Lytechinus pictus: one gene and its partners. The protein of the gene in region 2 purifies or fractionates together with the protein of the main gene of each other region. This does not show direct contact. Links are inferred from orthologs where the notes say so. Each region holds a gene or a part of one and is shown on either strand. Other genes may lie near its edges.

What was found.
Region 1: the proteins of renin receptor-like (region 2) and coiled-coil domain-containing protein 115-like purify together in Homo sapiens (affinity purification with mass spectrometry; 3 studies listed by BioGRID and IntAct, counting the BioPlex papers as one, with this or other methods). This does not show direct contact. The link is inferred for Lytechinus pictus from reciprocal best matches to the Homo sapiens genes ATP6AP2 and VMA22.
Region 3: the proteins of renin receptor-like (region 2) and V-type proton ATPase subunit F-like purify together in Homo sapiens (affinity purification with mass spectrometry; 3 studies listed by BioGRID and IntAct, counting the BioPlex papers as one, with this or other methods). This does not show direct contact. The link is inferred for Lytechinus pictus from reciprocal best matches to the Homo sapiens genes ATP6AP2 and ATP6V1F.

What each region holds. Positions count from the first base shown.
Region 1 is NC_087247.1:17,306,367-17,317,229, reverse strand, and holds the start of coiled-coil domain-containing protein 115-like, read right to left. Parts: upstream 7,524-10,863; 5' UTR 7,484-7,523; intron 7,337-7,483; 5' UTR 7,034-7,336; intron 2,585-7,033; exon of another isoform or gene 2,400-2,584; intron 1-2,399. UniProt on the Homo sapiens protein: Accessory component of the proton-transporting vacuolar (V)-ATPase protein pump involved in intracellular iron homeostasis.
Region 2 is NC_087260.1:13,863,532-13,874,394, forward strand, and holds the start of renin receptor-like, read right to left. Parts: upstream 7,094-10,863; 5' UTR 7,032-7,093; coding exon 6,971-7,031; intron 1-6,970. UniProt on the Homo sapiens protein: Multifunctional protein which functions as a renin, prorenin cellular receptor and is involved in the assembly of the lysosomal proton-transporting V-type ATPase (V-ATPase) and the acidification of the endo-lysosomal system.
Region 3 is NC_087247.1:60,521,935-60,532,797, forward strand, and holds the start of V-type proton ATPase subunit F-like, read right to left. Parts: upstream 7,190-10,863; 5' UTR 7,104-7,189; exon of another isoform or gene 7,075-7,103; intron 6,877-7,074; exon of another isoform or gene 6,829-6,876; 5' UTR 6,723-6,828; coding exon 6,675-6,722; intron 553-6,674; coding exon 471-552; intron 1-470. UniProt on the Homo sapiens protein: Subunit of the V1 complex of vacuolar(H+)-ATPase (V-ATPase), a multisubunit enzyme composed of a peripheral complex (V1) that hydrolyzes ATP and a membrane integral complex (V0) that translocates protons.

The DNA of each region.
Region 1 (10,863 bases), on a different chromosome or scaffold from region 2:
CTCAGTCTTTGATCTTTTATTCTTTATTTCTTTAGGGGGAACTCTCCCCTCCTCCTGAAATTTAAGGGGTATTGTATGTGACTGTACCCCCCCCCCCCTCTGCCGCCTGTGGCAACAATAATTCTTGTGTAAAAAAATAAAAAAATAGTGAACAAAATATTGAGTGTCAGGTGAGAAAAAGACTACATTCGCTGGATCACGGAGCTTCCTATTATTATGCTTCACCGGAAACAGGTAGGAGCTTATTTTATCCAGCTCTGTGGTCGCCACTGTTCAGTGGCTATCTTTCTTTTATTCAGCACAAGAGGGCGTGTTGAGGTACTTACGTAGGAGACTATGGGCCAGACGAGAATAATGAAAAATTTCCTGATGATTTTACCCGATTTTGAAACCAATCTTTACTTCAAGGACGATATTTACTTACAATTTGCAAATTCGCCTTTTATTCCGGAGAGAAAATGTTTTTTAGGGTGACTTTGTACCACGGAATGGGTCCGCTCTGATCTCGAAATTGAAAGCATTACGCAATTAACTCCTCTGATTGGAGCCGCAGCTCAGCGCGTGCTAGCTAGCCCAGGCTGCCCAGCAAAGATCGGCAATGTTTTTCAGTCCAGGTCGGTCGACACGGCGACTCACAACAATCATAATTACAATATTCAATTCTATGGGACCTCGTCTATAAAGTAATCAAAATTGATATACCAGGATAATGATACAGTCAATTTTTTCTTCTTGTATATCTCCATATTATTTCCTTCTGATTTTGTATTTCTTCCAATTCTTTGTAAACTAATACAAACTTACGTAAACTTACGTAAACAGCTCGTGTTACTAGTGCTTAGCTAGGCTTTTATTTATTTTTTATCTCTCTCGATCGATCGGTCAAGAGAGAGGTATTTGCAAGAAACTTGCAATCCATTGCAATCCAATTTTACATCTTCAGAAATCTTAAAGACTTTCAATCAATTGTACATCAGAAAAATTAAGAGATCTGGGCATTCAGGGTGCGGGGGCTTCAGTTTTCATCAGAAAATGTATGAAATAACGAAAAGGAGGGTTAGTTAGCCACTAGACTAGACCAGCTTAGCATGTCTTAAAAAAAGGGCAGCTAACACTCTGACCTGACGGCACGCTCTATCAGGTCATGACCTAATTTGGTAATCCAATAAGCAAACAACTGTCTCACTGCCGTGCACCGCAAATCCCTCGAGCTCAAACAGCGAGCGTTGCCGTGGAAACAGGCTCGACTCGCCCCACTCCAAGTCATAACGTATTCCTTTCTCTACCACGTGGCCCATCACTCGCTCCTTGCCAGATATGATTATGCAATGTATTCTGGCTTCTGTTTACAGTCTCCGAACACATCCCCTCTCCTCTCTCTCTCTCTCTCTCCCCCTCTCCCAGTCGTAAAACATTCCTTTCTCTGACTGCGCTGCACTGGCGCTCCTTTGAAAGAGCAACTCAATGTATTATGTCGAACTGTCTCAGTCCTGTTCACAAGACAAAAATACGCCGGCATTTTTTTAAAGGAAATATCTACGTCTCTAAAAGAATCCGCCACGTAAGAAGCACATGATCCTAACTCAATTTTCATTGTTAATGTTTTTATTATGCGTCGTTACTTATCCCTTTTTTTCGTATGACGGTCTGCGGGTTTGAGAATGAACTCGGCCCGGCCCGCAACCCGCGATCGGGGGCATACCGGCAGGTTAACCCGTACCACAACGGGTGCGGGTTACAACATTAATAAGTAGAACCAAAATCTATGTTTGGGTCAACACAAGAATTGGTAAGTCAGACTCTTTTACTTCGCGCGTTCCTACATAGAAATGACAGTGTTAGCGGCACTGGTCTCAGATTGGTCCCACCCCGTACCTTTCCCTGTATGGCGAATGGTTGGGGTGAACCAGTGGTGCGAGGTTAGTATAACTATAGGCAGGGTGCGACATAAGCCCTTGCCCGATTGCCCGGGGCAAGTAAAAGTTAGAGTCGGGCAAGGGTTTTGAAGCAAAGTAAAAAACTGATTGCCCGAATCGGGCAAGCAAAATTCTCCTATGGAAATTACATTTTACTTAGAAAGATTCCCCATATTTCACCATCAAAATATAGAAAAGAAAAAGAGACACAAAAAAGCAATATTATTAATTTTCTTCTTTCAAAAAAGTTATAAGTCATGATTCGAATTGCAAAAATTTGCGCCATTTTCTGCAATAAACACACAGCTCAGAGACGTACACACACACACAGAATCAATGACAGTCTAGCATACCTAGCTAGCTAGCGCCTAGTCCACGCAGCCGATGCACATGCATGTAGTTTCTACGGAGTACGGTGCTGCATGAACGAAGTTTGCTCTGGAAGAAATCTCCCACAGAACCGACAAACTTCACATTTCTTACCAATGAAAATTCTTGTATTGTCCATATTTCCTAAAAATTGGGGTAGCTCAGTCATTTGTAAGCAGTAATAGGAGAAATTTTCACTTCTGTTATGCTTCAAAAAGATCGGGTTTCACATGATCGTCTGTCATCGCACACACTGAAATACATTGTTTTGACAGTCCCACATATGCATTTGTGTGTATGTTGATAAACGTGGTTTTTTTCGTAACTATTTTTTTTTATCCAAGGAAATTGATAAATTTTCTTCTTTATTTATGACTGGATAGTTTGAGCTTTCTTCCTCTCTATTTTCTTTCTTTCTGCCTATCTTTCCTTCTTTTCTTTTCAATCTTTCCTTTCCTGCTATAGCTGTCATTTTTTTCTTTCTATCTTTTTATCTTTCTTCCTTCCATCCATCCTTTGTTTACCCCTTTCTTTAATCCTTCTTTTTCCCCTTCCTTTCATTCTTTCTTACCGTCTTCCTTCCGTCCATCCATTCTTTACCTTTTCTTCCCGTCTTTTTTTCTTCCTTACTTTCTTCATCCCTTTCATTCTTTCTTTTCTTTCTTTATTTATTTCCTTCATTCCTTCCTTTATTTTTGTCTTACATTCTTTCTCCTTCCTTCCTTTCTTTCCTTCTTTCTTTCTGATTTTCTTTATATCTGTCTTTCGTTCTTTTGATCTTTCTTTTTTTCATCCATCCTTTCTTTTCTTCCTTATTTTTTCTTTCTGCCTTCCTTCATCTCTTTCCTTCATTCCTTCCTTCATTTATTTCTGTCTTTTGTTCTATCTTTCTTTTCTTTCTTTTTTTCCTTCCTTCCATCTATCCTTATAACTTTTCTTTCTTCCTTCTTTCCTTTCTCTCGTTTTCTTTCTCTTTTCCTTCCTTCCATCAATCCTTTACCTTTTTTTTTCTTCCTTTCTTTCTTTTTTTATTCGTTCTTTTCTCTTCCCCTCATTTTTTTTCCTCTCTATTTTTTTTCTTTCCTTCCTTCTTTCTTCCTTTCTTTCCTTTTTTCTTTTTTTTTGTCTTTTGTTCTTTTGATCTTTCTTTTTTTTCTATCCATCCTTTCTTTTCTTCCTTATTTTTTCATTCTGCCTTCCTTCATCTCTTTCCTTCATTCCTTCCTTCATTTAATTCTTTCTGTCTTTTGTTCTATCTTTTTTTTTCTTTTCTTTCTTCCTTCTTTCCTTTCTCTTGTTTTCTTTCTTTCCCTTTTCCTTCCTTCCATCAATCCTTTACCTTTTTCTTCCTTTCTTTCTTTTTACCTTTTTTCTTTCTTTTTCTTTTCATTCCCTTCTTTCCTTCCTATCTCTTCCCCTCATTTTTTTTTATTTCTTTCTTTTTTCTTTCCATCCTTATTTCTTCCTTTCTTTCTTTCCATCTTTCTCATCCCCGCAGCCATTCTCTCTCTCTCTTTCTTTCTTTATTTCTTTTTTTCTTTCTTCCTTTATTTCTTCGTCCTTTCTGTCTTTCTTATTTTTTTCTTTCATTCTCTCTCCCTCTCTTAATTTCTTTTTTTTCTCTGGTTATTTTCAGTGATTTCCCCTTTTTTTATTGTGTGTCCTAGTCCCCTCCAAAATATATAGAAAATATATGAGATTAGGGAATTAATTAAAGAGCATATTGACCATATATTTTGTCATGATGTTCAAGATAAAAATCATTTAAAAAAAGAAATACAACTACAAGGTACATCAGTAGTCATGTTAAAAAATGTATTTTTAAAGCCTATAACTTGTTTTGAAGCAATAAAACTTTGTTTTGAAGAATTTTTTCAGGCAAGTGAAATCTATATTCGGGCAAGTATTTTCCAACTATTTGAAAATTTACTTGCCCGACTGGGCAAGTGCTTCAAAAAAGTTATGTAGCACCCTGCTATAGGTCTAGACTCTAGGCCTACTATTAATTAAAAATACTAACCTCGCTCTAGTGTGAGTGGGCTGGGATAAACCAGGGAAGTGGAAGTTGCGCGAGAGCTGTTTTTTCCCTTTTAAGTTAATTTTTTTCAATTTTGGTGCATTTCAGGCCAAAACAAAATAGATCTTTTTTGGTTTTTGGTCCAGTCCACTTGTTCACTGCAACCATCCTGCCTGTGGGGAATCTACAGCCAGGTAGGACTATGGCATGCCAATGCTGTACACAGCACACACTTTAAAAAATCATTAAAATATCACTTTTGTGACCAAAATTACTAATTTCCATACAATTACAATTTATTTTTCATTAGTAACTTGGGAATAATTTTTGTATTCACTAGAGCGCTCAAAAACTTGAATTTTGGGCATATTTTTGTACGCCCTCTATTGGTGGAAAGTAATATGGCAAGAAAATTGTCATTTTTCAATCTCTATTTTTAATTAAGAAAAGAATAATGTAAAGAATCAAATTTACTTAAGGGCCAAGTTGTATGACGAAGCATTTGTCCCAAAGAAAAAGAGAAAATAAGCCAAACATTGCCACCCTTATTTCGCCACACATGGAGATATAATTGAGAACAAGGTTATATCATATTCATATACCGGTACCACTCCTAGTACCAATGAGGTCCAAACATTAACATGTATGGACCTCATAGGCGACAATGCGTTAAAAACAGGTTAGAACTTCTAAACGTACTGTTTCCTGCACCCAAGTATGATATTACTCCCAAAATATGAGTTTTGTCCTCGTTTGTTTATCATTTATTAAAAGATTGCCCATTAAATATATTCCTATTCCTAATTTGAATTTAATAAAATAAAGGGAAACTTACATTTGAGTCATTTTTCGATCTTTTTTTGGCAGTCAGTCCGGTCACCGTCGAGTGCGATCAAAGCGGTATGAAGCTGATTTTCAGATCACGTGATACGTGTGGTCATCACCTGATCAATCGACTATCCTTTTTTAAAGACCGCAACAATTATAAATTTTATTATAAAATATATATAGAATGAATAATTGCATGATATTATATATATTTCTACAATTAAAAATATTTTGTGATATGAATTTAATATTTGACGTAAAAATCGCTATTTAACAAAATATTTATTAAAAATAAAAAATCAAACAAAATAAAAACGCCTTGGACACAGTGCAAAAAACCTAACAATTTGGCCGCGTTCTTAACAACTATCGTAAGGGGCGCTCTATTTATAAATAAAGTTGCATATGTAGCTGTCTACCGCGACAGGAACAGCCGCAGAATTGAAGCCAGAAGCGTGGGAAATTGCCAGAAAATTCAAGAAAAGAACCGGTGAGTACCGATTTAACAGTACTAATTTATTAAGTAACATTTATTGAATCATTACAAGATTTATTTTTTAGTAAAACAAAGCTTAGTTCTAAGCTAGGGCGGCCCAAATGCGCGTGAGTGGAGTCCCAGTTTATTAGCACGGGTAAGTATTGGGGTGTCGCCTAGAGTGACCGGTACCTAGTCCTAGTATTAATTATAGTGACGTATTGTATTACCGGACACTATCATGATTCCGGACGCTCATATTACTGCGTACGAAAACAATTTCGTACCGTAAGACTTCCACAATTCAATTTCACAGAGCAATACATAGAACAGGATTGCAAACACAAGGCGAAAAAATCAAACTTTTACCTTATTTATCTCTAAAATGACAGAAAATGCTTAAAATATCAAATTACATAGTTTTGCATTAACAATTGATATATTTTCTAACGGAAATATGGGTATGATCTGCCGAATTTCAATCTCGTCCGCTCCTTCGGTCGAATGATGAGGTGTGGTGTATTGTGGGTGATCGTCGACGGCTAGTTCTCAAGGTACCCGTGCGCGAGGTTTACCGTGAGTATAGAGCCGTACGTCGACGATCGGCAGCGCATCGATAGAACTTGATAAGCGTCACGATACGAACGAGCATAATATGGGGCATAATATTGGAAAGTTCCATGAAACATGCAGCTAACAAGAAAAAATAAAATAAGTTATCAAACACGAATTTATTACCAACATCTGCTCAGAATCGATATAAAAACAGCAAACAAAAACTTAGAATTTACTCATGATATGATATAAGAAGAAAAAATCACACAAATGGGTTCTTACATCATTATAATCAAGAATATCTTTACCCGTCCGGCGCGCATCCGGAATCATGATGTAATTTGTCACGCACGAAAATAACTGTTTTTCGTGGAGGGGTATGCGGCAAGTGCGATGCAAAGAAAATGGTTGGTAAATATAAAATAATTTTACCACATTCATAATTTTCATAATATTTGGAATAGCTAGTGCGAATTTTTCTTGATTGTATTTCCTCTAGTTGTCATTTTTAAAGGACTGAAATAAAGGTGTCCGGCAATAGGATACACTGCCATACCTTGTTCATTGAATGAGTGGTCCAGTCCTTTTTTTTAATGAAATAAAGACAAAAATCGATGAGCCCCGTCGGGGGGACTTTGCATTGTTAACCCCCTAATGGCGGCAGCACGATCGCGAGCTGTCTGTGTACGAAGAGAAATTTAAAAAAAAATGTTTAAGAAACTCCTCGAAACAGACGGCTGCCAGCTGTCTAGACTATGCTATGGCTATGCAGTGCCGATATTTATAACCAGCATGGAATTGAATTCATGGGACTGATTCAGAAAAAACTCTGTACCGGTACTAAATAAGTTAGAGTTAGACTTAAATGCTTACCACCACTTCAAAATTGCATCCAATAATCCCGGGCAGCTGCTCTTAATTAACAGGACCTAGGCTACATGTACTCGGTGCCTGATACTATAGTGATAGTGCTTAGTGGTAGGATTTAACTTTTTAAGAGAAATAATGACCAGTCGTTACGTGATTCCAGGAGATGCACATTCTTCTCGTATCCAATATTGGTACACGTCCGGCCGGCCGCGCCGCGCTCCGGCATCGCGCACGGCAAGGCCCTTGCTCCCGATCCCGGCTTCGTCCTCCTGATCCTCGGCCAAGCCTCTAGTATTTTTTTCCTTCCTAAAATGAATAAATATTATATATTCAGGCGCGGATCCAGGGGGGGGGGGCACGTGCCCCCCCCCCCTTTGAGAAGCAAAATGAAAAATTTGTAATGTAAAAATGCCATTAAAACAGAGGTGTGCACCCTCTTTTGAAATTGAAGACCTTTTTTTTTTTTGTACGAAATACCCTTAATCCGTGGTTGAAAACCTTTTTTTTTTGGGGGGGGGGGCTTGTCAACATTTTTTTTTTAAATATTGCCCCCCCCCCTTTTGGCAAATCCTGGATCCGCCCCTGTATATATTCCATATATTACAAGATGAAAATTAAAGAAACATAAACTATGAATCATCCAATATACGCGCAACTTATTACACATGCTAATAGAAAACAGGAATAAGCCTGACAAAGCCATTAAGCCATAAGTGTGTGAGGGTGCATGGGGAGACTAACATGCAGATAAAATCATAGTTTTAGTTTTCACATTTTTGCACACTCTTTCTGACAAAAATGGGGCGCCGGGAACTTGCCCCCCAGAAGGAAAAACCAGTTCCACTAGACCAGTTAGACCAGTAGAATTTTAACTGGTAACTCTGGAAATTGGAACATCGGTTTACTGGTCTTTAACTGGTCATACTGGTCCAGTTAAAATTAAACTGGTCTTGAATTACTGGAATTTTATACTGGTCTTGTTTCTGGTGGTTGTTGTTACTGGTCTCACTGGTCTTCATACTGGTATCCAATTTAAGCTAGTCTTTACTGGTATTTTCTACTGGTCTGACTGGTCCTCGAACTGGTCCTCGTTTTGGTCTTACTGGATCAATTTATTACATGCATTTGGTTTGTTATATACCATGGTCAGTGAAATGTGATGGAAAAGATGGTTAGTAAATTAATCTTTCTGCTGTTATTTTAAATGTGATATATGAAATTACACATTTTCATTGTGAATTAACTCACACACTTATTTAGAAAGTTTTTAAACAATGAATGAGTGCCATTGCAAGGATATTCCATTCTAAATCCTGACTTTTCGTTCAAAAACTAGAAATATGCAAATGAGGTAAACCACGTGATCAGCATCATCAGAATTACTGGTATTACTGGTCTTGACCAGTTCAATTTCAAACAATTAATTACTTAGACCAGTTGACTATATCAGAGGAATATATCTGCTTTGATCTTAATCATAATTAAAGGAAATAATTATTTTCATGATGTTATAATTATGATAATATTAATAATAATAATTACAATATCAATAACAATGATAACAGTAACAAGAATGATAACAATGATCATAATAATCATAATAATAATAATTATGATAATTATAAGAATAATGATGATAACAATGATAAATGATAACGATAATAACTTTCTCTAAATAAAATTGCAAGATTCATTTTCCATAATTCGTCAAATGATCTGACTTGAAATAATTAAAGTCATTATTTATTGGACCAGTAACACCAGTTTGATGAAAAAACAATTTAACTGGTATTACTACTTTGCTTCAACTGGAATGCAATTGTTGGAACTGGTCTCCAGTTGATTTTTACTGGTCCAGTTAAAAATCAACTGGTCCAGTAAACATATACTGGAAACCAGTAAAAATCTACTGGAAACCATTTATTGGACCAGTAACACCAGTTTGATGAAAAACAATTTAACTGGTATTACTAATTGCTTCAACTGGAATGCAATTGTTGGAACTGGTCTCCAGTTAATTTTTACTGGTCCAGTTAAAAATCAACTGGCCCAGTAAAATTATACTGGAAACCAATAAAATTCTATACTGGAAACCGGTACAAATTCTTACTGGTCTTACTGGATTTTCCTTCTGCCCCCCCCCCCCCGATTCTGCGACTAGCATGGGCCGAACAGTTTTGAAAAGAGTGGGGGGAGGCTTAGTCGAATGTGGGGCTGAAAATGCGAAAAATCATAATCAGATGGTAATTTTTACGTTTTTGTACACGATTTTGGAAAAAAGTGGGGGCATCAGTCCCCTCCCCCAAGCCCCCCCCCCCGGTTTCGCAGCCCCTGAATAGTCTAATCATAATCACTATAGCCTCATGTTTACATGTAGTTTGGAAAGGATTATAATTAATATAAACATATACTTAGAACTCAATGGGATCTGAATAAATCCAGTAAAAGTCACCAAGCAATTGAGCTAAAAATTTCGGCAAAATTTGATAACAAAGAAGTTTAACTAATTGGATTTTAAATTCTACCCGAATTGTGAAAAAAAAATACATGCACGCCATCATAATTATGCAATACGTGGGCTGAAATCCCCACTTCCTTTTTTCTTTGACATGTTACTTCCCGGGGTTATTTCATGAAATTATGATTATTTCATATTTTCATACATTGTAACAGTTGAAGCAATAATTCATCTCGAACATTGAAGCATTAGAAAATCTTTTTTTCATTCTTGAAAGACAAAAATTGAATAAATATATAATTTAATGTCATTAAATACAAAATAATAAGTGATGAATATAAATTTTCTTAATTTTGTCCGATATTGATGAAGTTTCAGCGTTTTGTTTGTCTAATTTTGACTTATATGTTTAAATCGTATTATTTTCAGCTGGCATGGGATTCTCACGAAAAAAATGGTGGGATATATAGGCTTCCCGTAGTCAGGCATGGTCACCATAATATTTAAAGCTAATGGGAAATGCAGACCAAGGTTCTATCTGGGGACCGGGGAAAATTGCCCCATTAACCCGCCCACTTCCCCTGTTTGTGCTGGCATTGTTGAATTGAGTAAAATATTTTAAGGGGGCACAAAATGACATTTAAAGGAAAGTTTCTGAAAAGTCACAAATGAGCGAAGAAGGTGAAGAAATGGAAAGTATATAGGCCTACACTATCTTCTTTTTTTAATAAAAAAGTTTTTATCATTTTAGAAGATAATAATTGATATTTTAATTTTTTATATTCTTTCTTTTGTTCTGTATTAATTTTCTTCACCCCCCTTCCCTCATGGCCATGCATTTGTTCATAATTCATTTATTCACTTATCATTTATTTTAAGGCCCAAATCAACTATAGGCCTAATCTGTACGTAGCACGCTAAGTGCCGCCTAAATTTGGCTCCTTTACTGAGATCCGTGGCACCAATCCTCAATGTTCACATGCGAGGGAGCTACGAGAAAAATTGTAATTTTCCAAACTGAGGGAATAGGGGTATAAAATTTGTTATTCGGGTATTGAATTGGTTTGTGCGAGCCTCGAACCCCCCCCCCCCCCCATCATGAAAATTAATTTCAGTTGCTTATATCTACGAGGGACTTTGCGACCGAGAGAGAAAATTTGCTGTTTTCAAAATACAGAAACTTAGCTTGTTGAATACCGGGGTTGAATAACGGACTTTAGAAAAAGGCTTGCGACACGTCCCAGAAAATCTTCTCCCTATATAGCTTTTTATTGAGAGCTTTTCTATTTTTGCAAATGAAACTTTTTGAAGCATGATCAAAGCTGGAGGGACTCCAGCTTTGATAAAAAAGTGCCAGTTGAAAAAATAAAACTTC
Region 2 (10,863 bases):
TCCTGGATTTAAACTGTACTGTATAGTACACTCATTCAATGCTAAGACATTTATAAATATGAACAAAACATAGGTTATGAAAAAAATTCTAACCTTATTCTTTCAATTCTTATTTATACTTTCTAATATAAATATCAATATTTCAGAAGGTGAAAAACAAATACCAATAGGCCTACTTTCTCAGTTGTGAGGAAAGAACTTATTACTGTCATATCATTATTCACTAGATCTTTAACACAAAGTTTACATGTAGCTTCAAATGTCCTCCCATTTTATGAAAAATAAATAATAAATTCATCCCGGTAGTTAGAAATATCCTAAAATCTATAACTGAATAAAAAACATGGCAGAAGTTTTCTAAGTGGATTTAAAAAAATATTTTGTGTGGAATTCTTATTTTTGCAATTATCACTAACCAAGGAACATGTTTACTATTTTTTGTTTATTTTATATTCAAATTCATTGTGTTCCCTACTAATCTTGAAATTGTTCGTTGACACTTGGCAAAATTAATGAGCATGACATTTTATACCAAACCACTGAACCAAGCCTTCGTGTTTGGTTCAGTTTGGAAGTGACAAGTTTGGCGAACTTGCGTTCGGTTCGGCGGTTCAGTTCCAGCACTACTTTTTCCCATTAGATACATGTACACTGTAGGCGTTTCATTATGATCTGTACAGTACAATGTGGTATTGGGAATGGAAGCTGGAAGAGAATTCTAAAGATGTGGGGTAGAGCTTGAAAGGGCCTACAGATGTACAATGTAGATGTTTCACCCCCCAAAAAAAAATTTTTCTTCTCTTTTTTGACAGTTAAAAATAACTTTTGATTTGTAGAATTAAGGGAACTACAGGATGGAGAGTACATGTACCGTATGCCTGGATTAATTTAGAAAGGTGCTTTTGATCAGGCCAAGGAGAGATTAAGAAAGTTACAAGAACAATTAGCAACGACATTGATGCTGAATGAATGTGTTATGGACTGGTAATACATGTACAAGCAGTCATAAGCGCATGCAAACAGTAATAATGTACAATTCATTATTTTCCCCCTCAAATTGGGGTTGTTTTATGCATAATTAATTGAGCATAAACTCAATAAATTCTATGAAATGTCTGGATGTGTTCTGTGAGGAAATACAATTACATGTACATCATGTACTTTGGTCTTAAGGGGTCTACACGCATACAAATTAATTTGTAATTTAGAAAGGTGTTTTTGATCAGGCCATGGAGAGATTTGAAATATACAAGAACAATTAGCAACGACAATGATGCTGAATGAATTTGCTATGGACTGGTAATGCATACGTGTACATGTACTTTGGTCTTAGGGGGTCTACACGCGTACAAATTATTATGATGGCAAAAAATGAGGTTATTATCAAATAAACAAATATTGAACAACTTTTATTCAAAGTATATGTAATGTAACAACATTACCCATATTTAGATTCTTTGAACAAGTTGCTTTTGAATAGAAAATGTACAGGTCTACAGTGTACACTAATAAAGCACATGGCAATGATGAAGCAAAAATCATAATCTTGAGTATAAAGCTACATTTTAATGTTAAAAGTTTTTCTGCAATATCTAAATTTGTCTCAAAGCTTCCTTTCACAAAATATTGTACACCCGACCAATGTATGTCAGAATGGGTTGTTTGACTATACATAGGCCTACACTGTACTTAGATGGCAATTTCAAGAACTTACATGTACAATCAATACTTTGATCGAATATCAGACAATACTACAGAGCACAAATACTCACCATAATTTTTGCTATTTAATGCATGACTTTTGAGAAAATCCAGAGCAAAAGATGTTTTTATCTGCATTACCAGTATAAAGAATCCAGACATTTGCCCTCTCCTACTTACATTATCAATATGTTTCTAAATTTTTCTGTTTTAATTGCCATGACAATGTTTAATACCAACTTACATGTTTCTCAATGTCTCTCAAAGTCTTAAATGTGTCACAGTGTTATGGCCTTGATTTGACAGCCCTTTATGACAATTGCACAATGCATGTTTGATAGATACAGATACATGTACATATGTCTGCATGGGCATGTCGTGGTCGAGTGGTTCTGACTCTTGCCTTTCAGAGGGTCGTGGGTTCGAATCCTAGCCGTGGCGTGTTTTCATTCAGCAATAAATTTATCCACACTGTGCCGCACTCAACCCAGGTGAGGTAATAATAATAATAATAATAATAATAAACAGTTCTTGTATAGCGCATATCACGATTATGAATAATGTCTCTATGCGCTTCCAAAGGACTTGGATATTATTACCCCAGCTGTAGCTTGGCAGCCGTAATTACTAAGATTACAGCGCACATGCATTTCAAGGAATAAATTCCTGCCAGGTACCCATTCACCTCACCTGGGTTGAGTGCAGCACAATGTGGATAAATTTCTTGCCGAAGGAAATTACGCCATGGCTGGGATTCGAACCCACGACCCTCTGTTTCAAAGTCCGGAGACTAATCCACTGGGCCACAACGCTCCACACTCCACAGGTAAATGAGTACGGGTAGGAAATAATTCCTCAAAAAGCTATGCGCACCTGAATCGGTAGCCTACATGTGTAGCTTAGACGGATAATAATAATTACAGGGCCCGCTGGGAGAACAGTTTACGGAACTGAAGTGGCTACCATGGGTAAATTTACCGTTATTATTATGGGGGCCACTGCATTGCAAAGCATTTCAAATGACAGGCATTGCAGAGAAAAATAATGAAAACTACTAGTGAAGGTTTGAGGAAAATCATCAAATATCAGAATTTCATGTTTTTGATTTGTGACGATATAAGACAAGCAGTTGCCCCATGTACATGTAACATAAAATTTGGAAATTAAGTTTCCATTTTGTCATGGTTCATGACATGTCTTCATGACTAAATAAAAATTCTTTCACTGGAGGTACAATAAAAAGCAATTCCATTTTTTGAGAAAATCAATGACATGAGTTACATTCATTTAATTTTTTTACTACACAATATATTGAGAAGCTACATACATGTAGCTGCTAGTATATTATGTCACAAATCCAATTATAAAAATTCTAATTTAATATCTTTTTAAATCTTTGATGCATTTTCCTCAAAGCTTCACAAGTGATTTTTTTATCATTTTTATTCTTGCTATTTTCACAATAAACTTTGTGTCAGGCCTCAGCTAAGGTTAACTTCCCCTTTGACCCTGCACCAACACAGCATTCGCAGTCAAAGCAAGACAACTGAGAATTTGCAGTTGACTGAAAATTGAAAAAAAAACATCCACATATCAGCAGCACATCCAGGCTGGCCACTAGAGTGGAGAGGAGGAGTAAGTTTGTAGAATACTACTACTAGTATAGAAAACTACAGAGTATCACATACTGTTCTAGTCTAAAACTAGGCCTTAACTATTCTAGAAGTATGTTATTAGACTAGAACATTGATACTGGGTCAGATGTATAAAAAGTAGCAATTGCTAGCATTCAATTGCTTCAAGCACAAGCAATACGTGTAGCTAGCCAAGCAAAAGATCACACTTCAGCAATTGCTTTATTTCATAATGGTGGAGCAAACAACCGCCGCTTAACTAAGGCGTCTATGGAGAAAGGGGGCACTTTTGCACCCTCGATTACTCCTAATCCTAAATCTTTTGCTTTTTGACAGGGTAAAAGGGAAGAAATAATAAAGATAAATTTATATCAAATTTCAGCTTACCACCTTTGCGAAAATTATGCTGGAAAAAAACGAATTTTTATGACAAACAGATCAGGATCCGCCGAGTTCTTCTTCAATCACTGTCAATGCAACTACATGTACATGTAGTATGTACAGTTGAGCATACGTGACGGCGATCGAAGAAGAACTTTGCTGATACCTAGCCTTGAGGACTCTGTGATTTCACAAATACAAAAATTTAATACGTGATCATAAATAATTAGTATAATACTACTAATTAAAATAACGCATTAAATTTCAGTATTTGTAAAGTAATAATTTTTACCTATAAATTGTTCTTCAAAACGGCATCGCTAATCGGATGTACGTCATAACGAAGCGGTTCAAGGGTCAGGTCTATTGTATTCGCTTTGTTAACAAACGGATCGAGGGATCTACATGAGATTGGTCTGGTAAGAAACGTCTCACTTTCACCATTTATAGTGAAATAATTTTTATACCTTTATACGCATGAAGGTTCATAGATATATAAAATTCACCCCTACAAACCGATTTCACCCTCTAACTATGGATTTCCTAGGGAAATCCATCCGGGTGTGTACATGTAGGTCTCGCTGCAGCGTCTATGGAAAGAGTGTCAAGCCAAGGCTCCATGTCTGAAGAAGTTTAGATCTAGGCCTATGTCAAAATATTAAAAATATCAGACATGGAGTCCTCAAGTCAAGGCTAGCGCTGGCCTAGACAGGAATAACCATCGTTTCTGGGGATTTATTCAACAATTTCTGACATTTTACAATCATGTATCATTGGTGAGTGAGCCAACGCAGTTCAGCGGAACAACCAAAATTACAGATTTACAGAGACTGAAGCTTTTGGTCTAGCCAAGGCTCGACATTAGCGGTGGCCCGGTGGCCCGGGGCCACCAGAAATTCACCTCGGGCAACCATTATTGAAAAAATGTTAAGTCTTGGTGGCCCGAATCGGGCAACCAATAGTTTTTAAAGTAGCACAATTTTTCTCCCGATTTTGCACGCATTTATCAACTTTCTACAACTCAAATTGCAAGCCAGTTGTCATGCGCCTTTTTTGTTGATCTACACACAAATACACACACACAAATTTTGCATAGTCATGACAGTACTACCGCTACAGCATACAGTAGCTGTTATCCAGCCGGCCGCGCCGGCAGGCTGGAATGAGCTAGCTTTGCATGAAGCCATGCGCAGCTAGCTGTGCGCTGGCAGCCTACCGGTATTCAGACTCAGGGAGCTGCGATATGAAATGTTGCTGCTAAGAAATCTTCCACAGAACTCTGAAAATTTAAGTCAAAGCCACATTTTACGCCAATGAAATGCCCTTCTACAGTCCATATTACTAAAAATCTGGTGTACCCTGATTATTTGCAAGCATTAAAAAGAGGAATTATGACCTCTCTTTTGACTCAAAAAGACCGATTTCTAAATGAATTAATACACATAAAAACCCATAGGTGAGTACATCACAGTCCCATGTGTGCATTTGTATGTATGTTGATACTTTGTTTCTTTCGGAGCTGTGTCTTTTCTAGCCAAAAATAAACAGTTTCTTTCTTTCTTGTTTATAAATGACTTCTTAAACCACTGTTGAGAAAGTTTATACTTTGGGAAGGCATTTTATTGATATGAAATGTGAATTTTTCCAACATTTTGGCAAATATAGGGAATGATTTTTTTCACACTTTTTTTTCCAGATCTATATAACTTTTGCAGTTTTTTTTTTTTTCTTTTTTTTTTATACCCCTTCCCATTGAATATGCCTGATTAAAGAATATGTTTCTACTAAAAAAAAATAATACAAACTAAAGGATATAAAAATAGAAATGCGCCATTCCCAAAAGATAAGTGAAAATTATTTGCTTGGCTTTTAATTATATTCCAGTCAGAATAGACTTTAAAAAATATTTGTAATGGCTTCTTAATTTTCCCCCTTTCCCCATTTTTAAATTAATTTTGTTTTATTCATTTTTCTTTCATTTACTTTTGTTTCTTTAGTCTAAATCTATTTTTCTTTTTCATTTTCTTTCTTTTGTTTTATTTCACTTATTTCTTTTATTATTTTTGTTTTCTTTTTGTAATATACTTTTTGAAAATTATTTTGGTTTGTTTCCCCATTTTATGCATTGTTCTAATATTGCAGCATATATTTCTGTGATTTTCTCCTGCTATAATATGCTGCAAAAGAGAAAAAAAATAAACTGGATTTGGGGCCTGCATAATCTAGGTTTTAGGATTCAAAGAGGAAGAAAGGAAAAATCATTGTTTTGTACATCTATCTGAGTTTGTTATGCACTGTTTATTTACTTTACCATTTTGAGTCTGTGTCTATAGGGAGATTAAAAAAAAAGTCCACACAATTCATTTATTCTCTTTCAATCATTACATATTTACAATGATAGAACAATTTCTATTTTACCACAAATCAATTAGCAAAGTAAAAAACAGCAAACAAGGTTTACACACAAGATGTACAAAGTGAAAGTAACTTAGTGGTACGTGGTAGTGGCTGCAGAATTAATATTTCAGAATGTTTAATGTTTTTCTTTATATTTTCCGGGCCACCAAACTTCAATATCGGGCCACCAAAAAAAATTATTTGAAGGTTTTGGTGGCCCGAACGGGCCACCACCAAAAAAAGTTAATGTGGAGCTGAGCCTTGGTCTAGGGACTCTAGCGCTGGCCTAGGCCTAGTTAAGCGGCCTTTGTTTGCTCCACCATTACGAGTACGAGCCCAATGGCAGTCATCCGTCTGTGTAGGAGGTAACATAGGAGAAGAACAAAAAGAATCAGAAAATGTTGAAAAACTCCTCTGAAAAAAACAGCGGATAATTTGACAATTGACAATGTGATGTCTGATGACTGACAAATTTCTTTAATTTTTCATGAAAAAAAGAGCTTGGAAGTTGGAAAAACAAAGTGATGATGCCTGGTTCCATTTCTCAAAATGACAGAGAAGAGAATCGATGTAAGTAGATCTAATTGTTTTATTTAAAATAATTAAGTAAAAAATGAGGGAGGCTGGCCGTGGCCCCGCGAAAATTCGTCGGATCCATATCCAAAGCCTCACCGGCCGCGCCCCCGCCCCGCAGCTTCGGGGTACGGTACCGTAGTCGGTGCCGGTGGAGCAACTCGACTCCTCCGGCTGCAGCGAGTGAACGAAGAAAATTTAGTACTTCCTTTAAAAATGTTAATTTCAAAAAGCGAATGAATGAAAAATTTTATTGCAAGTGTAACGAACCATGTTTTACTTACCATAGGTGCAAAGCAATGACAAACAAGTCACAAAAATAAATACACTCATGGAAGTCGCCATCTTGACTGTGCAAATGAGATCTCAAATGCAGTGCAGCACGCGCAGTAACAACACAGAGAATCCCCATTAACTAAATCACGGGACCCCTGCGGACCCGTACGCATCCGTTCAGGCCTTATCACAGCGGCCCGGATGTAATACCCCTACCCCCTCCCCCTCCCTTCCTCATTTTCATGGAGGGTCGTGTACGTGCTGGAACGGGGCTGGAACGGAAGATTCGGTGGAGTCCCTTTTTCTTTTTTCTTTTACTTAGGCCCTATTATTCTTTCTTTTTTTTTGCAAATGCAACACCGTCAGGGCCTATTGTGTGGATCGGAAATAAAAACAAAAGCAAAAAAAAAAAAAAACCCGGGGGGGGGGGCAGTTACATTGACGAGTGGATACCATGCGCGACCAAAAAAAAAAACGTATAAAAGATGTCTTTTTCAAGATAGGGCACGTTACGTACGTAACGTAATAAGATTTCAAAAATGCTAAAATAATGAAAAAAGGTATCTATTTACGCTAGGAAAGCTACGCGTTGAAGCGTCGTGGTGTAGCAGTTCAAGTGACTCTCGGCTTGTAATCAGAGGGTCGTGTATTCGAATCCCACCATGGCCTAGCGCCCCTTGGCAAGGCGTTAATCCACACTTTGCCACTCTCCACCCAGGTGTTAAATGGGTATCCGGTAGGATGTGAAAGCCTATATGTAGTATGCCAGCTAGCAATTGAGTCTTGGAACTCTTGTTGGAACGCTCCCCAGGGAGTGGAGAAGGTGCATACATTGTATGCGGGCATGCAAGGATCCGATGACCGGGGTAATGTCTGTAAAGCGCTTAGAGATGTCGTTCCCATGTATTAGGCGCTATATAAATGCGGAATATTATTATTATTAAGTGTTTAATTAGGGTCAAATTTGCGAGGGTGAAAAAATTAAGACTAAAATGTTTTATAAAGGAATAAAGGATGTACTTTTTTCCCCAAGAGTTATCATTACGTGTTGAGAGTAAGATTTGCGCGAGATGTGGGAGGTGGGGCTGTACTAAACCCTAAGATGTAGGTAAAAGTAAAACCGATGACCGACGTCCGTGACATAGCAATACAAATATCGCTGTACTTTTTTAGATGGTCAATTCAGGAAATACTTGGCAAGAGTATCGTTTTGTTTCCAAAACTTGTTAAAGGACAAGTCCACCCCAACAAAATATTGATTTGATTAAGAAGAGAAAAATCCAACAAGCATAACACTGAAAATTTCATTAAAATCGGATGTAAAATAAGAAAGTTATGTTTTCAAAGTTTTGCTTAATTTCACAAAACAGTTATACGCACATCTTGGTTGGTATGCAAATGAGGAGACTGATGATATCATCCACTCACTATTTCTTTTGTATTTTATCATATGAAATGTGAAATATTATAATTTTCTCCCCATTGTCGATTGAAACAGTGATCTATTCCTCCCTGAACATGTGATATTAGCATTGCTTTATACTACAGTGCGTATAAAAAAAGTTTACACTTTGAAAAAGCCGTGGGAATTAAATAATGTACAACATGTGGGTAATTTTTGACATATAATCTTGGGTTTGGGTCTCATCTATCCAATGAAAGTAAAAGTTTTGACAGAATGTTACACTTGAGTGAGCACTGTCCATTTTTGTAAAGCTCGCAGAAATCTGTTTGCGCAGAAATGCTCGTTTTCATTCTGTGTCAAGGGGTAAGGGAGAAATCAAACTTACCCTGCGAAACATTTCTCATACATTTCCCTTGCACTTTTGGTCAGTTGAAATAAAACGGATACATTCAAGCATTTTTGCCACCCAAAGTGAAATTTCAACACTTAGTAAGCACAACCTCTACCCTTTTTGCGCCAGCTGTATCTGAGGACATACTGAATCTGAACAAAAGTTTTTATCAGACATCTCCTCTAAGTTTTTATCATTTAAAGTGGGTTTACATTTTATTTTTCATTAATACTTGTTTCTCCACACTTTTCCCAAGCTTGAAAATGATTAACAAAATGAAAATCAAGCCTAAGCCATTTCATGTAAATCACAGCTCAGTGTAAGCAAATATCGTCACGATGGCCTCGGTATGTGGGGGAGTCAGGATGGGGTGCAATACACTCTTCGAAGTGTTTTGGGCAAGGAAACAAGTTTAAAAAGGTAAAAGATCTCTTCAAATCAATTTTACTAGCTAAATTCAATGTGTTCTTCATGATTAACATTCGCATAACTATTTCAAAGTTCTGCGCAAATCATTTTTCACTAACTTTTCAAAAGTAAGTGGCGCTTACTCAAGCGGAAATATTTTTCAACAGTTATATTGTCATTTGCTTAAATGGATCTGTACCAATCTTAAAATGTGGAAAAATCTTCAGGATATTACAAATGTATAATTTTACAGGATTTTTTCTAAGTGTAAACTTTTTTATGATACGGACTGTATAATGATTCAGTCAAGTCGGTCCCTATGGTCATATCTGTAAAGACTGAAATATTGTATAATTCAAACTATAAAAAACAAAAGAAACAGTGAGTGATGGACATCATCGACTGACTCATTTGCATGTCACTGAGTTGTGCATATCACTGTTGTGTGAAAAATAAGCGAAACTTTAAAATGCTATAACTTTCTTATTTTACATCCGATTTTGATGAAATTTTCAGTGTTTTACCAGTTTGATTTTTCTCTATTTATTCAAATCAACATTTTGCTGGGGTGGAATTGACCTTTAAGGGTAAGGTTTCACTCGCCAATACTTGTTAAGGGGTGCATTTTCAGAATATGGAAAATACGCGTTTAGGGTGCATTTCTAGACCCCATGGTCGCGCATGGTATCCACTCGTCAATGGAAGTGGCCCCCCGGGGGAAAAAAACAAAAAAAAACCAATGAATAAAAATACTCTTAATTTTTGGTTAAAACTCCCTTTTTATTTTGCTTGTCAAATTTTTTCCCGGGAAAATATGCCCCCCCCCTTGGGAAAATCCTGGATCCGCCCCTGACCTTATGAATAACCCCGCCGAGCTTTCATGTTTTTATCTAATATTTTAGAATAAAACATTTTAATCAGTTCTCTTATCAATGCTTGGGCCATCAATCTTCGACCATGAATCTTCTTTTATAGCGCCATCTAGGAAGAACCCCGTCTTTAAAAAAAATAATTAAAAAAACCCCAATATTTAAAAAATTCACCTAAAATTATTGTAGGCTAGTTTGAGAAAATTGCAGATTGAAAAAAAAATTATTCATACGAATCCCATTCCCATAACCAGGTAGTAATAATAACAGAGTTCCTTGCCTCTCAAAATCAGCGTAAAAACCCTTTGCCTTGGTTGTATCAATATGAGTACTTGGACAATCTTGAACTTAACCTCCCTTTTCCCTACTTGAAAACCCCCATCATAAGGAAGGGGGTCATTTCCCCTCCCCCGGTGAGGCCGCCCTTCATTCGCGGCTAGATAAAGGATGGTACTAATATTTTCCACTCATTATATAAAGAAAATGCTTGAAAGCAAAATATTGTTCAATACGAGCCACATTGATAAACTATCAAGCATTTTCGCGATTTTTGTTGTTTAAAGACTGGTTAAATATGTTGCTTCACGGCCACTTTTCTACAATTTTTCCGCTTTTCTCTTGATATTTTCGCTTTTCTCAATATTTCTCTTGCGAGTCCAAGTAGGCCTACCTCTCAATTTTTCCGGCTTTCTCTCACTTTCACCAGAAGTTTCGATCTCCTGCCTTTTTTAATGATTTCCGGTTTCGTCGCACACTTTCGCGCTTTTCTCTCATAATAGCTCCCTGTTACCATCTCTCTAGCTGCACTCAATACCACTATTGTACAGA
Region 3 (10,863 bases), on a different chromosome or scaffold from region 2:
TGTAAAAAAGCCACTAAACTGAAAACTGATAGTATAGATAATTGACCATGGGTGTCGATCAGTATTCATGGTAGGGAAGGGGATAACTGACACAAATATTGTTCTCTATGAGGGATTTTTTGTTTTATTTCATAGAGGGAGGGGGGAGGGTTGGGTCAGAGGCATTATGAACCAATCATTTTGAAGCAGCCAGATATGGCATATGAGGCAAAATTTACAGACCACCCCCCAAAAAAAAAAAATTAAAAATCTGCAAGCGAGTGAATAAAAAAAATAAATACTTTTTTAATATCTATATCTACCATGATCATCATCATCTCCCTCCTTATCATTCAAGTATTAACACTACTAATCTACCAATACATTTCCCTGTTAAAATAGCAAGATATAAATGTATTTTACAGAACATACAGATGTCATGAAACAATTTATTCATACTAGCATTCCTCTACAATTAATGTTTCACCTACCCTTCTCAACTACCATGAAGTTTGGCTGTCTCTTGTTATTGATTTCCCCAATACCCCCAAGAAGGAATCCTGTGCATGTATCCTGTAAGAAATAAAAAATTTCAGATGTCATGCATAAAAGAAATAACAAACACATTCAGAAAAATGGCTTCTTTTTCCATTTCCTTTCACGCAGAGCCTATCAGACAAATCATAATCTTCAGCTAATTTGCTAGCATAAATGAAGATAAACAGAGATGTGGAATCTTCACTGTATATCACAGTGGATTTGTACCTTGCTGTTCTACCACATTAGATTCATTTCAATGTCCTTGTGCGGCTTTAAATATAAGTCTATGGGAAATAAATATTCGAATGCAGGAGAATAACATAAGCTCAAACATACACATCAAATGGAACAGCAAACAGAAATTAAGTAGAATCAACTCAGAAGACACAGGAACATAACCGAACTTAACTCAATGAAGTCTGGTAGTGCACTGATTAATCAAGATGGCTTCTTTGCCTAAGTACATGTACATATGTAAAACTCAGAATCATATTAAAAAATTAACATACGCTGTAGCTGTATATTCAAATTAAGTAATATCAACCAGTCAAAATAAAAATAATGGAGGAGCCAACTAATAGAAGTCTAATTCATAAAATAACAAATAAAGTGAAGATGAATATAAAGATGTTGTGATGATTTCATAATAAGAATGTTTAACAAAAGAATCACTATCAGATGTGAGAATATAATGAATGAACACGTCTGAATAGGAAAGGAATGATGGGAGAAGCAGGTTGAAAGTCAAATGTCCTTGACAACAGAAGCATCAAGAATCTAAACAAATTGAACTAAATAACAAAACTGTAGAACAAAAAGGGAAACGAAATGTTAAAATAACAGTCCTACATTATATATGATTGGAAAAGTTGCCAATAATCTTCATTTAAAAAGATTACGGAGCAACCCAAAACGAAAGAGAGCATAGATAAATTAGAAAAAAAACGAGCACATCAATGATGTGGAGCTCATCCGGCATCTCGCAAAGAAATTTAACACAGTTTTTAATTTCAGCCCAGTTGACACTGTAGTGAATTATATTGGTGACATAAATTGAGGAAACAGAATTGAAATTGATGAGTAATGACAGAAGCATTTTTGTGATTTATGAATGTATTTTGTATAAATAAGCATAAATAATTTTCTAGTCAAAATTTCTAAATTCTGTGTAGAACCTTGATGAACCTCGTGTATAGCTCTCAGATGGAAGAAAAAAAATCAAAATTGGTCAACAAATTCATAAGCATTTTTTGTGAGTTTTGAATAATATGCAAAAATTAGCATGTTTAATGAGTTTCAAAATTCTGTGTAGAAATTTTGTATTCCCATCTAGAGCTATCATACAAAGCAAACACAAATTGAAATTGATCAACTAATGAAGGAGAATTTTTTGTTGTTGTGATTTATGAATAAATTTCTATAAATTAGTATTATTTTCAAGTTAAAATTTCAAAATTCTGTGTGGAAGTTTGGTGACCCTCATGTAGCTCTACCAGATGGAAAAAAAAAAAATCAAAATCGGCCAACAAATAAAGAAGCATTTATTTGTGATTATGAATAAATTTTGCATAAATTAGCATAATTAATTTTCTAGTCAAAATGTCAAAATATTGTGTAGAAGTTTGGTGAACCTCATAAAGCTCTACCAGATGGAAGAAAAAAATCAATATCGGTCAATAAATAAAGAAGCCTTTTTTGTCAATTTTGAAAAATGTGCATAAATTAGCATATTTTATGAGTTTCAAAATTCTGTGTAGAAGTTTTGAATCCCCCACCTAGTGCTATCATTTAAAGCAAACAGAATTGAAATCGGACTTGAAATGGCGAGGTAGAAGCATTTTGAAATTGTGGACGGACGACAGACGACACGGCATAAGCTAAAAATAGGCATAAATTAATTTCGCATAAATAAGCATGACAATTTCTCGAGTCAAAATTCTGTGTAGAAGTTTGGTGAACCTCATGAAGCTCTACCAGATGGAAGAAAAAAAATCAAAATCAGTCAACAAAAAAAGAAGGTGCATTTTGTGTGAATTTTATAAATTAGCATAAATATTTTTTTGTCAAAATGTCAAAATTCTGTGTAGAAGTTTGGTGAACATCATAAAGCTCTACCAGATGGAAGCAAAAAAATCAAAATTGGTCAACAAATGAAGAAGCACTTTTTGTGAATTTCGAAATGTGTATAAATTAGCATATTTAATGAGTTTCAAAATTCTGTGTAGAAGTTTTGAATCTCCCAGCTAGTGCTATTATATAAAGCAAACAGAATTGAAATAGACTTGAAATAATGAAGAAGAAGCATTTTGAAATTGTGGACGGACGACAGATGACACGCCACAGCATAAGCTCATCTGGCCCTTCGGCTGTCGCACAACTCTCACTTCCCTGACCAGTTTATCTGAACTTGATACATAAACATATGGCCATTGAGTACCTGTACCCCTGGGGCCCGTTGCAGAAAGAGTTGCGTTTAAACGCAAACCAAAAAATCAATTGCAAGTCCCACATGCGAGCTGTTGATTGGTTGAAAATCAAGTTGCGCATGATTTTTAGAGTTGCGATTGATTGCAACTCTTTCTGTAACGGGCCCCTGGGGCCCGTTACAGGTAGGGGGTACAGGTAGAGTTAGAACTTCGGCCTCTGTAATTGGTGAGTGGAACCAACGGAGTTCAGCGGAACCAATAAAACAGAGACCGAAGCTTTTGGTCTAATTCTTTATTAGCATTATTATCACAGACATTACTCAAAACTTACCCCAAAATTTCTTAAATAGTGAAAAATAAAGCTTAAATTCTCCATAAAATCATGTATGCATATTGGTCCATCACTATATGAATATACTATGTGGGCTAGTGGCTAAAAATAGGCATTTTATTTTTAGTCTGTATCCTGACTGAGGCCTGTGTGAGCCTCTGAGTGAGACTGAGAGGAGCCGTGGAAATATGTCACATCAATAGATAATCAACTTGGCTGCCAGAAAATGTGAAGATGTCGCTAAGTTTAACTACATTGTTCACTCAAAATATAGAATGAAAATTTGAGGCCAACTCACCTATTGACTTTTTGCCTAGCCTATACTATAGTCATGTTGCTGTTGTGTATCTTAGGTCCTAAAGTAAAACTAAGTACAAGTATTTACTGAGTAAATCAAGACTAAATTAAATTTTTAGTTTAACAAGAATCACGCAGATACACGTGTGTGCACATAAGGGAGACTCACACGCACCCATGGGTGTATTACTGCCGCCGTGTACAGGAAAATTGAAGGCACGGCGCATGCAAAATTGCAACAAACTCCTGCAAATTTCAGAAGAGGATTTATAAAATCAAGTCTTCCTACTAAACTAACCGAATGATGTGAAGTCAATTAATCCTACTATGATGAATATCCCTCAAATAGCGTCATTTAAGTGTTGAATTTTCTTCTCGTTGACAAAATACGGAGTGAGCTTGCGATTTTCCAATTTTTTTGTCTAATTACATAAAGAGGGCGCACGATTTATCCTCATATCAAACACACTACAAGGGAAAGACTAGGCACAAAAACTTTTTTACACGTAAATCAATGCAAAGCGTTACGCGAAGTCTGCAAAGTGTCCCATCTTTTTACTGTAAAGACTTTGGTGGAACGTTAATTGACCAATTTAATACATGATTATAAATAATTATTATTATTATAATAATTATTCATAATCACATATAAAATGTTAGTACTTGTTAAATAATCATTTTTATCTACTATACATTGTTCTTCAAAACGGCATTTTGTAACATCGCTTATCGAAGGTAAGTCATAACGAAGCAGTTCAAGGGTCAGACCCACTCACACAAGCATGCGAGGTTAGTTGTACTAACCTCACACAACGCATGTCATTTCATAATGAATTTTGACGTTTTCATTCATCACACGAATGTGAGAGAATGAAACACGCCAAAATCTTCAAAATATACTAAATTTATTAATCTAAATCTTATCATCTAATTTAATTTAAAAAATGTGCTCGAACTTATTTATAAAAAGTGATTTTAAATGCTTACCTCCAAATCTCAACCAAGATAATCTGTCCGATCCTTAATACTGCGGTGGAAATTACGCAAACAACAATCGAAATGCAAATTTTTCCTATCGAACAGTCTAGATTCAAGTCGTTGGCGCATAATAGGAAATTGCACCAAAAAAATCAACAGGTTGCATCTCACGTATAATCGCTGATGGCGCTACATCATAAAATAACGCTGAACAGCAAAAAAAATGCGGAGCGCCTAGAACGCAACCAGCAGTACAGCTGATCTGACGTGAACGACGTAAACAAGCAAGTTTATTAAATTATATCGCGCGCCCTCTCTGTGCGTATAGAGAAAACTAGCGAATTAGGTCCATGCCTTCTTCGACATCAAGAAAAATCATCGATATAAAGTACCAGAAAGACAGAGGAAATGAAATTGGCTTCATATCGTTTGATAAGTTTCATATCCAAAGCTTATCTAATTTAATATATCTATCTACATGATCTATTTCTAATTTTAACAAAATAGCCATAAATTTATTGCAAGTGCCGTGCCAGTGAGTGGTTATCCTGTGCACGGCGGCGGAATGTACCCATGGGTGGGTCAGACCAGTGGGTCAGACCTAAGTATTTGCTTTGTCATGTTTGTTGACAAACGGATCGAGGGATCTACAGAAACCTTCAATTTTTCACCTTTTTATGAACCAATTTTTGTAACCTTCATACGCATTAGGCGTATGAACTTAATGAAGGTGTAAAAAAAAAATAAATAAAAATAAAATCACAAACATTTGTTAGTACGTGATTTCGGTCAACAAAGATGGATTTCCTAGGGAAATCCATCTTTGTTTTGATGTATCTCTTATACATATATGGGAGGCGGTACAGGCTCCATGATGAATATGTCAAAATATTAAAAATATCATCACGGGGCCGATTGCACGAAAGGGTCTTTGCAAGGACAGTCTTTCGTGTCGCCCATTTTTTGTCATGCGCCATGTGAAACGCATTTTAAATAAATTATCTGCAAACATATTTTACTCGTCCATTAAAATAAACAAAATATTTGTTTATAAAATGTGATATCTCATGAAATTGTATAAAATTTGATTTAAAAGCAAGCTTACGAATTGTATGGCAGTGAGTCCAAACTTCGCGCGTGTCCATACTTCGCGGACGGTCATTATCTAAAAAACTAGCCAATATCCTTAAAATCTGACATCATCAACGTGAAAAGTGACCTAAAATTATCCTTTGGTGTAAGTTTCTTTCGGATGAGTTCAGTATTCATGAAAATATTGACAAAAGATCGGCAAATTTGTCACTGTTAGCGCCCGTTTTGAAGAAATCTGATATTCTCAACAAGCATCACGATATCACCATTTTGCAAGCAGAAATCATCAAAAATGTGAGTTAAATGTGGTACTAACCAATTCTATAGCATTTTGCCGTCAATCTGATATAAATATTTCACTTTTTGAGCTTGAGATTTTGTTTACATCTCCACAAAAACTTTGGTCCGCGAAGTTAGGTCACACTTTTTCAGATTAGTTTTCCAGCACGCGCGCATTCGCCAATCGGAATAGAATTTTGAGATCGCGATACCGGCGAAACCCCTTGACCTACTTTACATTTTCGTCCATGATTTTTTAATTAACGATCTTGCCGTGAACGTTGTAACTATTTCTTGAATTAGTTTTGTATAAATTATGAATATTTTGTGAACAAATTTAAGCCTGATGAATATTTTTGAAAAGTCTGCGAAGTTTGGACACCCCATCATATTTATTTGTTTATCATAAATTTCAGAAACACTCCGCTTATACAAGTTATAGCGCATCATAAAAGATGGGCGACACGAAAGACGGTCCTTGGAAAGACCCTTTCGTGCAATCGGCCCATGGAGTCCTCAAGCCAGGAGTCAAGCCAGGCTACACAAAATTACATTGTTCACGTTTGCACTCAAAATGACTCATCCACTGCACTGCATGGTTATGAACGTGTGGGACTTTACGTCTGGAATGGAATATAGTGCGCCAATAGCATCGCGCATCAGCTCTCTCGTTCATCACACTCACAGTTCTAGTCTAACGTTAGATCTGTGAAAGCAAGCTTAATCCTATATGAAAATAATATTGTACTCACTTCATCGCCAATTACAGCTACGAGTTTCCCTTTCGATGAATGCGCCATTCTTGACGTTAGTAATGCTCTCTTTTTACTTTTAGCCTAGGTCTTACTTACAGTCTCAGCTAGCTCAGCTAAGCAGCCTCAGGTACTATCAGGATATGAGTAAATTCTGTAAAATAAAGTGCTATAAAATCTTGCACAGTCGGCCATGTCCATTCTGTTTAAATAGGGGACATCAAGAACGTGAATGTTGTTAAATTTAAAGCAGCTTTAAAGTTAAACAATAACTAAGGTACAGGCACAAATCACATTTGATATTTCAATAAATTTTGATTGATTCAAGCTGGTTAATAATCGATGCGATTCTTTTATAAATAAATAATTAGTAGACCCTATAAGTTTTCTTTTTAAATACATGTATTTCAGTCCTAATTCAAAACTCACCCTACAAATAATGGGCCGGAGTAGAGTCAGCCAACAATAAGCTAGCCAACAGCAAGCCAGCCAACAGTTCCAGCCAACAATATCGCGATGTAAGATAGATCAGATACAGGATTTTGCGCAGGAAGAGAAGCGTGCATTCTGGTACAAATCAAACATACGGGGTCAGGTGGGGTTTCCCTTCTTTCAATTTGTAAAGAAAAACAACGGGCTAGCATTAAATTTTAGTAGCCCACACCCCTATATACTCTATGTGTTTTCGTATATTGAGGAGTAAATTTCAACTAAAAGTCCTCTTTATAAAATACAATTGGAAGATTGCTCCTGAAATTTATTTTGGGTGTGTGTAGGGGGGTTTCCCTTCTTTCAATTTGTAAAGAAAAACAACTGGCTAGTGCTTTAATTTTAGTAGCCCACACCCCTATATACTCTATGTGTTTTCGTATATTGAGGAGTAAATTTTAACTAAAAGTCCTCTTTATAAAATACAATTGGAAGATTGCTCCTGAAATTTATTTTGGGTGTGTGTATGGGGGTTTCCCTTCTTTCAATTTGTAAAGAAAAACAACTAGCTAGTGCTTTAATTTTAGTAGCCCACACCCCTATATACTCTATGTGTTTTCGTATATTGAGGAGTAAATTTCAACTAAAAGTCCTCTTTATAAAATACAATTGGAAGATTGCTCCTGAAATATATTTTGGGTGTGTGTAGGGGGGTTTCCCTTCTTTCGATTTGTAAAGAAAAACAACGGGCTAGTGCTTTAATTTTAGTAGCCCACACCCCTATATACTCTATGTTTTTTCGTATATTGAGGAGTAAATTTCAACTAAAAGTCCTCTTTATAAAATACAATTGGAAGATTGCTCCTGAAATTTATTTTGGGTGTGTGTAGGGGGGTTTCCCTTCTTTCAATTTGTAAAGAAAAACAACTGGCTAGTGCTTTAATTTTAGTAGCCCACACCCCTATATACTCTATGTGTTTTCGTATATTGAGGAGTAAATTTCAACTAAAAGTCCTCTTTATAAAATACAATTGGAAGATTGCTCCTGAAATATATTTTGGGTGTGTGGAGGGGGGTTTCCCTTCTTTCAATTTGTAAAGAAAAACAAGGGGCTTGTGCCTTCGTTTTAGTAGCCCACACTCATATACACTCCTATATATTCCTCGTTTTTATATATATTGAGGAGTAAATTTGAACTAAAAGTCCTCTTTATAAAATACAATTGGAAGATTGCTCCTGAAATATATTTTGGGTGTGTGTAGGGGGGTTTCCCTTCTTTCAATTTGTAAAGAAAAACAAGGGGCTAGTGCTTTAGTTTTAGTAGCCCACACCTCTATATACTCTAGGTTTTTTCGTATATTGAGGAGTAAATTTGAACTAAAAGTCCTCTTTATAAAATACAATTGGAAGATTGCTCCTGAAATATATTTTTGGTGTGTGGAGGGGGGTTTCCTTTCTTTCAATTCGTAAAGAAAAACAAGGGGCTAGTGCCTTCGTTTTAGTAGCCCACACTCATATACATTCCTATATATTCCACGTTTTTATATATATTGAGGAGTAAATTTGAACTAAAAGTCCTCTTTATAAAATACAATTGGAAGATTGCTCCTGAAATTTATTTTGGGTGTGTGTAAGGGGGTTTCCCTTCTTTTAATTTGTAAAGAAAAACAACGGGCTAGTGCTTTAATTTTAGTAGCCCACACCCCTATATACTCTGTGTGTTTTCGTATATTGAGGAGTAAATTTCAACTAAAAGTCCTCTTTATAAAATACAATTGGAAGATTGCTCCTGAAATATATTTTGGGTGTGTGGAGGGGGGTTTCCCTTCTTTCAATTTGTAAAGAAAAACAAGGGGCTTGTGCCTTCGTTTTAGTAGCCCACACTCATATACACTCCTATATATTCCTCGTTTTTATATATATTGAGGAGTAAATTTGACTAAAATTCCTCTTTATAAAATACAATTGGAAGATTGCTCCTGAAATATATTTTGGGTGTGTGTAGGGGGGTTTCCCTTCTTTCAATTTGTAAAGAAAAACAAGGGGCTAGTGCTTTAGTTTTAGTAGCCCACACCTCTATATACTCTAGGTTTTTTCGTATATTGAGGAGTAAATTTGAACTAAAAGTCCTCTTTATAAAATACAATTGGAAGATTGCTCCTGAAATATATTTTGGGTGTGTGGAGGGGGGTTTCCCTTCTTTCAATTTGTAAAGAAAAACAACGGGCTAGTGCCTTAGTTTTTGTAGCCCACACTCATATACATTCCTATATATTCCACGTTTTTATATATATTGAGGAGTAAATTTGAACTAAAAGTCCTCTTTATAAAATACAATTGGAAAATTGCTCCTGAAATATATTTTGGGTGTGTGGAGGGGGGTTTCCCTTCTTTCAATTTGTAAAGAAAAACAACGGGCTAGTGCTTTAGTTTTAGTAGCCCTTACCCCTATATACTCTATGTTTTTTCGTGTATTGAGGAGTAAATTTGAACTAAAAGTCCTCTTTATAAAATACAATTGGAAGATTGCTCCTGAAATATATTTTGGTGTGTGGAGGGGGGTTTCCTTTCTTTCAATTCGTAAAGAAAAACAAGGGGCTAGTGCCTTCGTTTTAGTAGCCCACACTCATATACATTCCTATATATGCCACATTTTTATATATATTGAGGAGTAAATTTCAACTAAAAGCCCTCTTTATAAAATACAATTTGAAGATTGCTCCTGAAATATATTTTGGGTGTGTGTAGGGGGGTTTCCCTTCTTTCAATTTGTAAAGAAAAACAACGGGCTAGTGCTTTAATTTTAGTAGCCCACACCCCTATATACTCTATGTTTTTTCGTATATTTGAGGAGTAAATTTCAACAAAAAGTCCTCTTTATAAAATACAATTGAAAATTGCTCCTGAAATATATTTTGGGTGTGTGTAGGGGGATTTCCCTTCTTTCAATTTGTAAGAAAAACAACGGGCTAGTGCTTTAGTTTTAGTAGCCCACACCCCTATATACTCTATGTTTTTTCGTATATTGAGGAGTAAATTTCAACTAAAAGTCCTCTTTATTAAATACAATTGGAAGATTGCTCCTGAAATATATTTTGGGTGTGTGGAGGGGGGTTTCCCTTCTTTCAATTTGTAAAGAAAAACAACGGGTTAGTGCCTTAGTTTTTTTAGCCCACACTCATATACATTCCTATATATTCCACGTTTTTATATATATTGAGGAGTAAATTTGAACTAAAAGTCCTCTTTATAAAATACAATTGGAAGATTGCTCCTGAAATATATTTTGGGTTTGTGGAGGGGGGGGGGGTTAATATCTCTCAATTTGTAAACAAAAAGAAAGGGCTAGTACTTTAGTTTTAGTAGCCCACACTTCTATATACTCCAGTTTTAAGAATATTGAGGAGTATGTAAAAAAAAAAGTTCCTGATAAATGAAGAAAGCTATCGTATTTTTGAAGGGGGTGACCCTTTTTATTCAATTTTACAGTGCGTATCAATAAAAACGGGACAGTTATGAAACGTCTATCAAAATACCCTTTTGAATTATTGTTATGTGATGATAAGATATATCTCACATATTCAATAATATATCAATACATAATCAATACTTAATCAATGCTTCTACAGAAAGTATAACAGGAAACTTCTACCAATTCCAACTTTCTTAAGAAAGTATTACTCATCCATCTTTCAGCTAAACTTCTGACCACACACATTTTATGGGTTTGTTATTCACATTTCATGTTCTCCCTATAAGG